Linked DNA regions of Xenopus tropicalis. Each later gene encodes a partner of the first gene's protein in a complex. Links are inferred from orthologs where the notes say so. Each region holds a gene or a part of one and is shown in the gene's direction. Other genes may lie near its edges.

What was found. The genes of interacting proteins can lie anywhere in the genome.
Region 2: gtf2f2 (region 1) and polr2k share a complex: the UniProt entries of both Homo sapiens proteins name them as parts of the TBP-based Pol II pre-initiation complex. The link is inferred for Xenopus tropicalis from reciprocal best matches to the Homo sapiens genes GTF2F2 and POLR2K.
Region 3: gtf2f2 (region 1) and gtf2h5 share a complex: the UniProt entries of both Homo sapiens proteins name them as parts of the TBP-based Pol II pre-initiation complex. The link is inferred for Xenopus tropicalis from reciprocal best matches to the Homo sapiens genes GTF2F2 and GTF2H5.

Annotation. Positions count from the first base shown.
Region 1 is NC_030678.2:133,900,182-133,904,999, forward strand, and holds part of gtf2f2 (general transcription factor IIF subunit 2), read left to right. Parts: intron 1-1,307; coding exon 1,308-1,407; intron 1,408-4,818. UniProt on the Homo sapiens protein: TFIIF is a general transcription initiation factor that binds to RNA polymerase II and helps to recruit it to the initiation complex in collaboration with TFIIB.
Region 2 is NC_030682.2:128,130,891-128,136,277, forward strand, and holds polr2k (DNA-directed RNA polymerases I, II, and III subunit RPABC4), read left to right. Parts: upstream 1-1,910; 5' UTR 1,911-2,024; coding exon 2,025-2,085; intron 2,086-2,922; coding exon 2,923-3,015; intron 3,016-4,328; coding exon 4,329-4,351; 3' UTR 4,352-4,522; downstream 4,523-5,387. UniProt on the Homo sapiens protein: DNA-dependent RNA polymerase catalyzes the transcription of DNA into RNA using the four ribonucleoside triphosphates as substrates.
Region 3 is NC_030681.2:52,597,020-52,602,430, forward strand, and holds the start of gtf2h5 (general transcription factor IIH subunit 5), read left to right. Parts: upstream 1-1,934; 5' UTR 1,935-1,993; intron 1,994-4,585; exon of another isoform or gene 4,586-4,687; intron 4,688-5,411. UniProt on the Homo sapiens protein: Component of the general transcription and DNA repair factor IIH (TFIIH) core complex, which is involved in general and transcription-coupled nucleotide excision repair (NER) of damaged DNA and, when complexed to CAK, in RNA transcription by RNA polymerase II.

The DNA of each region.
Region 1 (4,818 bases):
TTGATATTTTTGTTGTACAGGGTCCTGCGATTTCAAAAGGCCGCTCAGACATCAGCACAGATTTGACCATATTTTGCTCCCCACTTCTTGCCCTGTTGCTTACTGAAACAGCCTAGTCTTCGTCTCCAAATAACACGCATTAAATTAAAAAAAAAAAAATTATATAGATAACACTTTTTTATTTCAGTTTATGTATAGTTATTTTGTTATATATAACCTAATTAGTGATTAGTCTTGTGATTCCTATATATTTAGTTTTCCTTTTAAACCATTTTATATGTAATATCTGGTTAAACAGAAACGGAATCTGCCTGTATGGATTGTAGTAAAATAGCAGATTGTTCTCTTGTTTTCCCAACCAGCACTAGCAGTTGTACTGAAAACAACTCTGATGAAACGGCTGCACAAGTGTTATATTAAGAACCTGTGCCAAATGCAGCAGGAACACATTACTCTGAAGAACTTGCAGTGTTTTATGCCTGTTCTCTGGAGAATGGTGTGGCTCGTCTTATATCAAAAATGTGAAAGTTCTGTAAAACACTAAAGAAATAATATATATGTAATTAATTTCCAAAAGGCAGACACCATGCAACAGTGTGAAGGAACAGAATGCATTTGAAAGCTATTTAGACTTATATGCACCCTTAAATGTATTTGCCAAAGGCTGACAGACTATGTTATCACCCAAAGAACTAATAAAATATAGTGCTTTATACATACTTTGGACATTGAGCTACATCAGCATGGGATAAATATAATAAAGAACTAAAAGATGAGGACAGTGATCAGGCCAGGTTTGTTTAAAGGTTTTCTGTCATGATTTTTATGGTGGATTTTTTATTACTAAATGACACTGTGTACATTACAAATAGTTAATTTTACTATTTAAAATGTTAATAAACCAACAAATGGTTTGGACAGTCCCTTCAAAAATTAGGATGTCTGGTTTAAAACCGGATATCTGGCATAATGTGCAGGAATACAGTATATGTAATGAATGCCCACTTTTAAGCATTTCTTTTCACTAAGTCAAAGCAAAGTATTTTTTAACATCTAACTAAGGAACAAAATGTGTCTTGTAAATTATACAAAGTTCTATCGATGCAACTGTGAATCGTACATTTTCATAACTGTCAAACAATTAGTTCAGCTCCTCGGCCCCTTTTAATGGCTTGTCTCCAATCAATTAGGCCTATCCTGATTACGATTTACTGTGATGTATCTCCCCTCAAACATCAATGGCTTATTGAATTAAATGTTCTGATTATCCGGTACTAATTGATTTCATTATTTTTGTGTCTATTTAGAAAACAGATTGAAGAATCTTCCAAACCAAAGAGGCAATCACAACAGATAGAAAAGGCAGTAACGACAAACTACAGACCAGTGTCAAACCATCAGTACAATGTAAGTTTATTAAAAAAAAATTCTCATTTAAGTTTGTTTAGAGGGCTTGTTGTGTATTCCATCAGAAGTGTCAATAAACCCGGTAAAGAGGATTTTTCCTATTGTAACTGCCAAGTTTTAGATTTTTCTTTGAGGCAACAAAACTGATCTAACATGTTGCAGCTCCATGGGGTAATCTCTAAGGTAATTTACAAATCAATGCAGTTTTCATTTCATTTTCTTCCAGAAAGCTCTAGTTTTTGCATAATACTTTGTAATGCCAGTCTCCCAACAGTATCTATGGCAAATAGCAACTGCACATGTTGGCAAAACATTTATGCTATGCAGTTGATGAATATCCATACACAATACGGCAGTGCTGTCCAACTGGCGGCCCGCGACCCCCCTCTGTGTGGCCCCCACCTGTCTGGCTGCTTTGATGGCTTACCTTTGAACCTGCATGGTTCTCACCTCAGATTCAGGCTGTAATCCCTCTGTATTGTTTAAAAATGTAATCCACTGTGTTTTTCACACCTTTTAATACCTGCATTGTTCACCCCCTGCAGTGTTCACACTTCAGGCTGTAATCACTCCCATTGTTCACTTCTTCACACCTCAGGCATAGGTACTGTAGGCAGAGTATGGCACATACAGCCAGCATAGGGCAGGTAGAGTATGGCACACACAGGCAGCATAGGTAAGGGAGGGTATGGCACACACAGGAAGGGTAGGGCAGGCAGAGTATGGCACACACAGGCAGGGTAGGACAGGCAGAGTATGGCACACACAGGCAGGGTAGGGCAGGCAGAGTATGGCACACACAGGCAGGGTAGGGCAGGCAGAGTATGGCACACACAGGCAGGGTAGGGCAGGCAGAGTATGGCACACACAGGCAGGGTAGGGCAGGCAGAGTATGGCACACAGAGGCAGCATAGGGAAGGCAGAGTATGGCACACACAGGCAGCATAGGACAGGCAGAGTGCTGCCTGTGTGTGCCATACTCTGCTTGCCCTATGCTGCTTGTGGGAGGTGAACCTGGCAGGGGTTTGTTGTGGGAGTTTGTTAGCAGTTGGAAATAGCCATTAAATGGTTCCTAAGGTGTGTATTTATGTACTGGGGGTTGCTCTGCTATCCACAGGGGAGGAGGAGGCATATGGAATTTAAGGGTATATCTTAATATGACATAATTCTTTCACATATGAATGATGGTTGATATCCCCACAGTAAGGACCAAGCATTTGGGATTTTGCTGTGCTACCACCATTGTGATAAAATAGGTGTGGTTTGAAGTGGGTGTGGTTTCAAAAAGGGGAGTGGTCAAAACTGGCTTCCATTAGCGGCCCTCCACCATGTATGCTAGAGAAATTCCGGCCCTCGGCACCGTAGAAGTTGGACAGCACTGCAATACGGCATTGAAAGGCCATTTAGCAACCAGTCTCACTGTAATGGATCATTGCAGTCTGTTCTTGTTCTTTGTTGCCTTTGATAGGCTAATTTTTGCCAACATTCCCTTATATTTAGAAATTAATTCTCACTCTTTGGGGCATGGACCCAAACTGGCATAAAAGGTTATTGCTTAAAAGTGTATTCCATTGTATCAGTTTAAAGGAAATTTCCCTTTACCATATATTGTTTTTCTTATGTTGCCTATTTTTGCTTGTGGGTATAATTTGTAGAGAGAAGGCCCATAATGAGCTCCATAAAATGCACAAGAATTGCACACTTTCTGAAAAACAAAATCAAATGTATTTATTAAAATAAGCAGACATAAAGCTCTGTGCGTTTTTGACCTGTTAAAGGCCACCTATCATACCAAAATTGTTTCACCTGCCAGAGGTGCGGGCTAATGGAGGCTTTATGCCATGTGGGGGTAAATTCTATTTTGAAAATGGCAAGCACTATGCTGTCCACGTTGGGAGGGACCTGGTTTGGAAAGCCACGTTGGGACCTTACGCAAGTGTCCCAGCTTCGCTCATTATATACATCTCTGTGGCATAGGATTGGGCAACCTCCTCCCCCGATCTAACACCACATGCACACACATAATGAGAGAACCAGGATACTCGCTTTTTATGTGTATGCTTGGGACCAAACAAGGCTATCCTCGGTGTGAGCATCATAGCACTCGCTAGGAGCGTTTTCTGGCCAAAATGGTATTGTTTCCTCCAACTAGAGTGGCGATAACAACAATTTTGTTATGATAGAGTCTTTAATCAGGAGAAAAATGAAAAAATAGGCATATATTCCAGTACCACCATCTGGCGTGACAACTTTCCTGCCAGTCTCATTTCCAGAGCTGAAGATGGAACTGTGCCAAGTTGCTATTTAAAAAAAAAAAACACAACAACAACAACACTTCTATGGAAGTGCCTTGAGAAAGGCATTTATTAAAGTGTTTCCATTACATAGGATCATAACACACGATAATATTAGTAAAGACCTTGATGTTCTGGCCATGATGAAATACTCAGTTGGCTACAAGAAATTGTAATAAGGGACAAATATCTTAGGCACCTCAGTGATTAATGCTATTTAATCCACCAATCAAATTAACATACTTACTGTATGTTGATCTGTGGCTGTGGTGCATTGTAATCTTATTGGAGCTGAGCAACAGGAAAAGGAACTAAAATAAAATGTAAAACTATCTAGTTTCCAAAAAATTAGATTTAGGTTTTAGTCGCAGTACTATTACAGTACAATACTTTTAGACCAATGGTCCATTCTTCCTCCCTCCATAACAAAAGGGTATTCCTGAATGTATGTCCAGCTTTTGACGTGACTTCTATCCCAATCAACCTCAAGAAAAAAAAAAACAGTATGGCTGATTACACACTGGAGCTAAATTGCACAATTACAGTTGCCAATAGCCACCAATCAGTTTTTACTCTTATCTTGTAGAAGACCAATCAAAACTAATTTCTGATTAGTTGCCATTGGCAACTGCACGCAGTTTTGCTTTTTTTTTTTCACAAAATCAACCCTATTGTGTTCATACTCAGCACAATTTTAAGCTAGAGGTGTGGTGTTAGATTCTTCTTTGATCAAACTTTTTTGTGTTTTAAAAATCTATCTTTATAAAACTTCACAATGAAAAAGTAATATAAACTTCAGGTCATGGATATAAGAAACTTTCTGAGTATTAATCTAGTCTACCGTACAGGGCTGTGTATATAATTAGCGCTATATATATATAATATATATATTTACACTGCACTGTTTCTGAAATAATCATGTTACTCTTCACTATTCCCCTCTCAGCACCTGTCTCTGCCCTGTACATGGAGAAGTTGGAGTCAGATTCTGATTGACTATTAACCGAAAGACAACTAGCTCTAATACATTGTCTAACAGGGTCACAGGGTCCACTTGATTTTTGTACTGGAAATCAAGAGTATATAATGAAAGTAGAGATTTTAAGTGTATGTGTTT
Region 2 (5,387 bases), on another chromosome or scaffold:
CGATTGCTGCGATTAGTAACCGCAGTTTTTTAAAAATTATATCAACTAATCACCCTCTTTGTCCTCACCCTAAGATACTAGGCCTTGTAATTTTGGTATTTTTTATTACTTATTCTGCTCATGCCCTTTTCTATTCATCTTCCAGTCTCTCATTCAAGTCACTGCCTAGTTGCTAGGAAAAATAGGACCCTAGCAAGAAGAAAGCTGCTGAAATTCTACTCTGTAGAGCTGCTAAACATTTTAAAAATTGAAGACCAAGTGCAAATTGGCTCAGATTATCACTATCTACATTATACTAAAAGTTATAGTTAAACTTAAAACTACCCCTTTAATAGAACAAATTGTCCCTGCATTTGCAAAATTAAAACCAATTGTGGGAAAAAGGAAACATTTCTATGTGATACCTTATATACCACGGTTTAGATCATTTCAGTGGGCCTCACACCCCCCAGTCTGGCACTGAATTATTGCTAAACTCATGCTCAGCAGTTCCTCATTATAAAAAGAAACATTGCAATTCACTTTATTTCCTACAGTGTAATCCAGGGGTCCCCAAACTTTTTTTAACCTGTGAGCAACATTTAAATATAAAAAAAAATGTAGGGAGCAACACAAGCATGAACAAAGTTCCTAGGCAGTGACCAATAAAGGCTGTGATTGGTTATTAGATGGCCCACTGTGGACTGGCAGACTACAGGAGGCTCTATTTGGCAGTACACATGGACTTTAGGTCTCCAAAACTTGACTCCAAAAAAAAATAAGCACCTGCTTTGAGGCCACTCAGAGCAACATCCAAGGGGTTGGGGAGCAACATGTTGCTCATGAGCCGCTGGCTGGGGATCACTGGTGTAACCCATACATGCCTATATTTAAAGCAAGAGGCTTATGAAGTATGCTTAGTATTGGGGTGCACACATTTTAGCATGATCCATAAAGCAAGGTTTTCAAAAGCAAGATTTAGGGAATTTGCAGTATCTGTTTTAATACAAATATCCTGCTTCCAACCAGAAACCAAACCAAACTATTAGGCTGAAACAACCAACAGCCAGGAGACAGTTAACTGCTAAACTATTTCAAAAACCACCAATAAAACCTGTAATAAAATCCTCACAATGAAATATTTCTGTTCACCTGAATCCTCTCTGGAGGGTCACCTGGAGACTATCTCTTGCTCAGGATCAATGAAACTGAGCTAAAACTGGAAAACCTGTAAACCCCCCACTTTTTTTCAAATGTGTTCCAAAGGTCATGTGATAAGTACCCATGGTGCTTTTCTTCAGTCATACCCATGATGCCTTTGTTCAGCCATTCCAATCAACTAATTAAAGTGATGAGTGGAAATTGTGTTATTTCTAAAAAAAAAAACTTTGTTATAATGTCAGCCTTTATCTAAGGTTGGCATTAGATAAATTTAAAATAAGTAGTAATGATAGCATTAGTTTTCCTAAAGGATCAGTAACAAAACATTGTTTTTGGCACCAAGTGGTATGATAGTTTCTTGATTCACTGTCTGCACATATAAAAGCAAATTCCGGCACAAAAGCATGTTTAGAGTACATTTTTCACAGCAACAATAGTATATAAGACAGGCGTCCCAGCAACAAACGCCATACCTGAAATCCATAATAAAATCAGAAAATTCATACTATTATATAAATAAATGACACCATACAATCACTTTAATAATGCAGAATAGCAACGGTGCCTTTCTGCATAGTGAAAGAATACTAGCATACTAATAAAGCTTGGAAACATATAGTTGCCCACACTAAAGATGGCCGTCGCACACACGCAGCGAACGTCACGCGTAGGAGCGCTTTCTGATGTCGTAGGAATCGTGCGCCTCGGATGTTTGGTGCATGCTGAGTTGAAAGCAGTGCTGTGCCGATATATTGTAGGCCGAGTAGTCACATTTATTGTATGTAGTGACGTTACGGTAGGGAGAGTGAGAGAAAGGCTGTAACTGCAAATTGACTTTTCTGCAGGAATAAAATACCCGCAATTTATGTTATTCAGGTGAAAAAATGGAAGGCCAGAAGGACGCACCTCCTCCTAAGCAGCAGCCGATGATATACATTTGTGGAGGTAAGGTTTTTCTCTCAAAGCAGTCAGTTTTACTCGGGGGTGCCTTTAGAGGAAGTTATTGGATTCAAAAGACATCAGGGACCTACAACTTCGGCTCCTGGTCACCTGCAATCCCAGCATCCCACCCTGAGTTTTGCCAAAAGTGCCTAATATCCTAAAGAGAAGTTATATGCCCAAAAAACCCTCCAGTGAATATATATATTCTAAACTAGTTGAACCTGTGCCATTTTAATTAGTTTCCCATAAGTCCCTTGCACTGAGCATATGCATTACTTTTGGTTCTGTACATCTGTTTCCTGTGTTTGGGACTAGTCACTAGGAACTATTGGGATACTGCAGAAAGATGGAGGCATGGGAGCTCCTGTATTCACTAGGGAGCTGAATTGGATAAATGTGGGCTTTTAAATGCCATTGTTGGTCATGAATTAAAGGGAGCCAATTATTGATGAAAAAAATGATTTCAAGAGGCCCTGCAGTTTCCAGCATTCTCAGGAGAGCTGAATGATACTGGTGATTGCAGTGCTAGTTTAGATCATGTTGAGAATGTTAATTGGCTAGTGTCTGCAAATGTCGGGATAATATTAAGAGAAGAGAGTGCAACTACGAATCAATAGCGAGCTACCACTAGATTGAAACATTGGATACAGGCACCCAGACAAGACCCCCTCACAATACCCAGAATATAAACATCTTATTTTTGTGTTGTTCCATTTGAACTCACAACAGTCCTTGCAGACATTGTCTTTTTACAAGACTTGTATATTTATCTTAGTCTTTATCAACATTGATTTTCTTTAGATTTTAAACTGCATGTTATTTTCTCTCATCTTTATTTAGAATGTCACACGGAAAATGAAATAAAAGCGAGAGATCCAATCAGGTGCAGAGAATGTGGTTACAGAATAATGTACAAGAAAAGAACAAAACGATGTATCCTTTTTTTCTGGTTACCTGCACATTTACTCCAGACTGAATGCGTGTAGGAACGGAGAATGGCCTGTAAAATAGGCTTGTATTAAACTTATTTCCATTAAAGGGGTTGTTCAATTTTATGATATTCTGAGACAGTTTGCAATTGGTCTTTGTATTATATGTGTGTGTTTTTAATTATTAAGCTATTTGTCTCCAGATTGGAAATTCAGCAGATATCAGGTTGCTAGGGTCCAAATTACCCTAGCAGCCATGCAGTGGTGTAAATGAGAAATACTAATACAAATAGGAGAGGCCTAAATAGAAGGATGTAAAAAAAATAGCAATACAAATAAAATTGTAACCTCAATAGTTGTTTGGATTCCCACAGTGGCCCCAAATCAAATTAAAAGCTAAAAAAAAATAAAAATAAGAAATGTTGACCAATTGAATAGTTTAGCAACTGAATTGCTAATTCTAAAACATACTGAAACATAATTGAAGGTGAACTTCCCCTTTGAAAAACATTAATTGTTTTTGTTACCATTTCCACTAAACTGTGCAGAAAGTGTAATTAAAGAACTTTCTTTTTGCAACTATTTTTTCAAAACAATTATGGAAGAAGGAAAAAGCATTTGATCAAATAATGCATTTTATTAAAAGAATAAGCAAAATAAAATCTAAGCAAAACGTTTGACCCCAATGTGTGTCTCTGCTCTGTTAGCTATGGTGCTTTCCATTTCGTAATATGAGGAGAGTTAAGGTTGTTGAAACCGCCACTAACGTTCAGGGCTGAAACGGCAGATAAGGAGGTAGAAACAATATGATTTCTGCCGACTCAGCCCTGATGGCAGATTTTGCTCAGACGCCTTCTATGGCGCCCGATCAAAATCTTTTAACCTGGCCGATCGGCGAGTCGACCGATATCAGCAGCCTCCTGTGATATCGGTCGACTCGGCGACTTGCCAAACACGCATCAAATATCGTATGAAACAAGGTTTTGTACGATATTATCGGTGCGTGTATGGCCAGCTTTATGGTGGACAGGGGTGTTTTTTCCTCCAGTGTTTTTTTGGAGTATGGCAGCAGTAGAACAAATAGTTGATGTGCCATAAGCATTATTCAGTCACGAGAGGAAGATTAAGGGAGAGCTGGAAACAAATTTAAAGCCAAAAAGTACTTTGTAAAGGGGAACTTCACACCATACATAACAATCCACTAAATTGTAAAATGGATTTATTTAACATCTACTGCAAATTTATTTATGGTACATGAGTGCTACACTTTATTTTCCATTATCTGATTCAATATTTCCTTAATTCTTTCAATTTCAGTGGTTGTGTTTGATGCTCGCTGACCTGGATAAAATTCAGTTACATGTGTCTGACATCTGCTCTACATATATATATGATTAAGTTACATATATATCAGATTTTGTTAATTAATGATAGTGTTCCTTGTTCTTGTGTAAAGCAAGGTATTACATGTTTTGTAATAAAGATTTTTAGAATTTTGTTTTTGTAAACATAACTCGTTGTCATCAGCGTAATTCTTTCTCAGTAATGAAAACTGCTGCATATCACCACCTCTCTGGTCTTATAATGAAGTTGCAGTCCAACAGGTCCCTTTTAGCTGCTGCAAATCCTGTCAGTATGGCTGTATTTTGCTGTGCCTACAACCTAATTGGTTTCCTGCACCTACCATATTACTGTAAATATTACATCATAAGAAATACAATCTTGCTATGCGGCTGGATGTTCTGCTCTAAATGACACAGTCAAACAAGTGTGGGAATGAAAACAGAACAAATTAAGATAACAGGGTCAGGGCTGCATAGTATGTAGGTACTATAAAGCAGGTAAGGGGGATTGATCAAAGGGAAAGTACACCCATTTTCAACATTAGCTCAATGAATAGGGCTTGTGCTGAACATACTTTTTGCCTGTTGCTTTAATTATGAAATATCTGTGTTTTCTATATTATCTGGCACAAAACAATAATATATAGCCAATTTCACTTTAGTATTTCTTGTCACTTGTGGTCCCAAAGAACTTCAAAGGAGCTAATAAAACTAATTACCAGTCCACTGAGAACCCCCTGATATTTAGCTGCTCAATGGCTGATGCTTAGAGAAAAATGTGTTTTGTTTGTTAAAAGGTAAATAGTAAGCTCTGAACACATTGCTATGTTTATATTCAGCAAAAATAGCCTAACTTTTAAATAGAAAAAAAAATAGAAAAATATGGATTTTTTTAGAGAAAAGAATTAAGACTAAAAGCAGAATGTAATTTCAACACCCATTTAATGTGCTTATTTGTAGCAAATGCATTTAAGGTACAACTGGTGCACTGGTAAAAGAGACGAAAGAAGGCAGTAAAAGTGTAAGGTGGCTG
Region 3 (5,411 bases), on another chromosome or scaffold:
TCTTCCAGCAATACAGGTCTGTAAAATCTGCTGCCTTGTGTCACATTGTTTTGGCAGTCTGAGCCACCAGAGCAGAGACTAGAAAGGACAGACAGACACTGCTTTTAATAACAGTTATATATACAAATAACTAAAAAAAAACATTACAAATATGTAATAAATGTATATTGCAAAGTTGCTTACAATAAGAAATTATTTTTGGGGTTGACATGTCCTTTAAGGGCTCGTACTCACAAGTGTTTCTTCCTGAGCTTTACCGCCGTGGCTTTCTCTGGGGTTCCACATCTGGGAAATACAAGCTCTAAACTATAACAAAAGGGAAAGTTGTTCTCACTATACAATTTTAAGTTATTAAGTGGAGGTTCAATGAAGGTGTGACCACAAAATTCATATAGGGTTGCCACCTTTGCCAGAGTCTAAACCCGAACAAAGGGGGCAGGGCAGATAACATTGAGGGTGGGGCAGTGATGTTGGGATTGGGCTCAATGACATCAGAAGTGTGCACAATGATGTCAGTGGGCTTATGATGCTGGTGGGGTTTTTGCATCATTTGATGCAATTTATTGTATTTCTGTCCAGTTTTCATAGCTTAGTTTTAAACTGGAGAGAAAGTTTTGAACTGGACAGCCCTTTGAAAAAAAATAGGATGTCCAGTACAAAGCCACATTGGTGGCAAAAGTATCTTTATCTATAGTCTGCCTGATAAGTAAATCCAATCCTTTAATTATTGGAATTGGATCTATCATATAGATATCAGTTATAAAGAAAGTTTTGAAATACAGCAATGCTAAGTTTAAAAAAAATCGAATTGATCGATTTGCTTGTTTTTTTGTTTTGTAATAATAAGAAATTTACTGTACTTGATGATAACTAAGCCATGTTTAGGTGATTATCTTAATATTTGTCTGGCATTTATTGGCCAGATTATTGTTCGGGTTTCACAAGGCTGAAAACCGAACAGACAGTTGAGACCCGAACAGGTGGCATCCCTAATACAGAAATAGAAAAAAATCCCCTGCTTTCATCCATTTCAATACATTAAGGATATTAAGACATTTTGTGCATAACGTTACTAAAAATGTACCTCCTCTTTAAACAAAACAGGGATTTTTGTTTAAAATTGTTTGTTTGTACATATATTGCAATATGTTCAGGCTGGACAACTGTGTCCAAGTCAACCCTGCTCTCACTTTCATCTGATTCATTAATAATATCATTAGCAATATCCTGCAACTAGAAGGTTTGCCAATGCCTGCCTCACTTACGGGGCTTGTGGTGCAAAGCTAACATTAGACAAGTTGCATATGTGGGGTTTTTGCCCCAGAGCCCCAATACCTTTATTTATGCCACTTGGGATTCGGTTCAGAATCTATGTATCTAAAATATTTACAGTTGCATTGAAGCCATCAATGAATATTATAAATACTTATAAAATAGTAAAACAAACAAGTAGTTGTATTTGTGAACGAAGCACCAAAACTATCAAACGCATTTGGTGAGAGTTTGCCAAAAAAAAAAAAAAAATCACAACATGACTTTTTTATGTACATCCAATCAGAAATCATAAGTTTACAATTAGTCTGAATTTTATTTATATTATATATTACTATATTTACAGTAATATGTGAATTAAAGACATTAAAGGACAATCAGTAGGCTTATTCTGGGATAGAACATACACTATATTTCATTTTCAGGTATTTATTCTTTATTTTTAAGCTGGCACGCATTATATTACAATACTGTAAATCATGCAAAGATCAGTATGACTGTGAAATTCGGGTTTGCAAGTATCTTGTCTAACTACACCACTAAAAACACCCTACTGCTCCACATACAGATCCAGTTGCTTCTTCAACGCATGTGCGAAGTTTGTCTTTGGAACAGAGTTTGTTTCTCCGTCGCATAGATGACGTAAGGGAAAAGAGCCGAGGAAAGCAGGAAGTATCAGTGAGCAGTGTGAGGTTGCTAGCGGAGCGGAAAAGACTCAAGGGTAAGGCTGTTAGGGTATATGGTTTGGTTATAAGTTCACGCAAATGTTAGGGAGAATTCGCGGGTCACTATCTCAGCCTCAGTAGATTGCGTTATATGTGTCAAACTACGGGAGAGCTGGTGCTGAATTACCCTTGTTTAAAAAATGACTTCTTTTTCTTCTAATATTGGGCCACATTATCCGTCCAGAGTAATAGTACTCGTTGAAAAATGAAATGATGACAACTAATACAATATGGCAAGAAAGAGTTCGCCATTTATTGCTCTCTCAGGCATAAGGCAGACTCTGTTTCACAGTAGTGCAAGGCTTTCATCTAAGCTCAAGAGAAGCATTTCTATATAAATAGTGGATTAGTTATTTATTGTCTCATTATTACAACTGCGCCACTTAGGGTAGCAACTGGCTGCAGGGTTGTTCACCTTCACATAAATGCAGTTGTCAGGGCAGATTAGGCCATTCGATGCAAATATGTAATGTATCTCTTTTAAAAAAAATCTCTAGTTTTTGCAAAAATGCCTTTCCTCCTGTTGATTAAGTTTACAAAAAGTACAAGGTTGTTTGCGATCAGAGACAGGGTTGTCAGGTTGGCAAGCTTTGCACCAAATTAGGCTACACTTTTTGAGCTATTCTATTTTTCATATTTTTTTTCTCTGTGCATATTGCAGTATTTGTGGCCTATTTTTTAAATGGCTTTTGGCAGATTTATGCTAGTTTTTTAAGTTTGGTAAGTATAGATTGTGTGTGCTGGGTTTTCTTGGAAGGGTTGAACTTGATGGACTCTGGCCTTTTTTCAACCCTATGCAACTATGTATCTATGTAATTTTGGCTGGTTTTGAAAATTAGACCTTGCAACCCTAATCAGACTACCAGTTTGCTATGGATGAAAATACTGGTGCTTCTGTTGTGTTACTGCCTAATGGCCTACTGCCAAATGAGCCTTGGTAAATAAAAGTTAAGCTCACATTGATATTGCACTTTTGGCTATGGCTTTACTTCTTGCACGCAATTACTGTGTGTGGTGTTAACAGGAGCCCTGTGCCCCCCGCTGACTAGGGGGGAGCAGGTATACTTTATACTTGCCGTGCCTCCATCCAGGGTAGGGACAGGTTGAACTGTAACACCCCTCCCTGGGAAACTCTGTACAGTCCTCCTTGTATATGGACTCCCTGCAACTTCCGGGACCTTGCCCCCCTTAGGGTGGTTGCTTACCAGGCAGTTGAGGATCCAATCCTTGAGGAATTAACCACTGGAAGTGCTGATTAACCAGATGAACTTGTTTACTGTATTCACACAGAGTACGTATGTATGTATCTCTTTATTTATAAAGTGCTACTTATGTACGCAGCGCTGTACAGTAGAATACATTAATACAAACAGGGGCTTATTAAGATAATAGATAAATACACAGTATAACAATAAATACAAGATACAGTTGCAATAACTTAAGAGTCAAAGACACAAGAGGATAGAGGTCCCTGCCCCATAGAGTTTACAATCTAGATCACAGAGTATCCAGTAGTATGACATGCAGGTTCATGTACTTCTTACTTCTCTCAAGAGACCCTCTCACTTAGGCTTATTCTCCTGTACTCCCGCAAGAGATCCTTTCTTAGGAGTTCTCCCTGGTACTCATGCCAGAAGACTCTCTCTTAGGGCTCTCCCCGGTACTCCCACCAAGAGACACTCCCTTGGACTCTCCCCGGTACTCATGCCAAGAATACCCTAACTCATGTCTTTGAACCTTATGTGATACCGTCCACAAGCAAGTTTTCAGCAGTGGGAGTAATGAAAATTCTTGTTTTTAAGGGAGCCAATTTACAATCTGCCTAAGGACTTTGAAGGGGCATTTACAACAACTATACAGAACGCATGTTTTTTGTGTTAATAGATTGAGGAACTTGCTTTCTTCCACTAGAAACAGAACGTTTTCACTATAAAGGGGTCTATATTGCTAATATTGCTAATTGAATAAAGTCCTGCTGGTACCACAAGACAACAGTGGCATGGCAAGTGGTTTTATACCTAAAGTGTGGTTGTGTGTGCAAACATGATTCCATTTTGCATTTATTGTAGATTTTGTTCAATGTTTTGCATTCTATTTGGTGTATAGACAACATAGTCGGGGATATCTGCCAAGTTTCTCACATTAATAAATTGACATTTTCCTACATTACTGGTATTAGTGTGACTGTTACATCCCTAATTTTGTGTGGGTTTTTTTTTTTTCTTCTTTTGAATTTGAATACTAACTACATGTTCATTCATACTGTAATTGGTTAAATAAATGGTTGATGTGTTCCCTTAAAACTGTATTTTGTATTTACTGTGCTTTACAAAATTAAATAAATGAAAAGTTTATATTCTTTAAGTTGTATTTTTTATGATGGATTTCAGTGTACAATTTAGTTTACCACTTGGCCTGACCTTAACTTGATACTGACTTGTACTTTGTTTTCTGTCCCAACACCAGCTGTTTTGTTTCTCCTTTACTTTTATAGACCTTCAGAGGGATAATGGCCAGTAGTCATCTTTCAGTGCATTTGGCCCTTCCCTTGCTTCTAAAGAAATTCTAAGCCTTTGTTCAATTTTATATTTACAAGGGAAAATCCTAGAAACTATCAGCTAATATCCTGTTGGGCAGGGTGAAGAGTAGAGGGGAAATCACTTGGCAAATTACATGGACATTGTCTGGCAGTATGTATCTAATTTGAGAGTGTGTTAAATATTCTATTAGTTTCCATAAGTGTCTGGCTCATAAAACCATTTGGCGTAAATATGCTGCCTTTTAGATATAAATTGATGCATTTATTTTCGACATGTCTATTTTTTTCAAGAATGTAGCAGCAAAAGAAAAAAGAATGGGAAGCAAGCTAATAATACTGATATCTTTAAAGGGGTGCTGTCATGGGTTTCATGGTGTATATTTTAATACTGGTTTGCAGTGTATTCTTAGAAATAATTTATTCAGCTATTTATATTTTCAAACTAATTTGTAAATACGCTGCCATCTCACTTTGTTATGCATTATCCCGTGCTTAGAAAAACAGTTTGGGTGTCAAGACCCATTACCTCTTACAATGTATAATGTATCTGGGGCTAAAGTGTTCTCTGCCTCTTACTGTATTTAATGTATTTGGGGTGTTTGTGCACTGTGCATCTCATTGTATTATATATTTATCACTGTATAATGTTGGGATATTGTTCTTGGAAGGCAAATGGTTCTTCAAAAGGCAATCCTCCACTGCACCTTCTGCATCAGCCATGGTGCTTTTCATTTGATGATATCAAAAGCAGATAGGGGTGTTTTTAAATTATGTGTAATTGATGCATTTGAAAACAGCATGTTTCCCTATAAAGGAATCCCTTTAAAATACATTAAAGGAGAAGGAAAGGTAAAAACTAAGTAAGCTTTATCAGA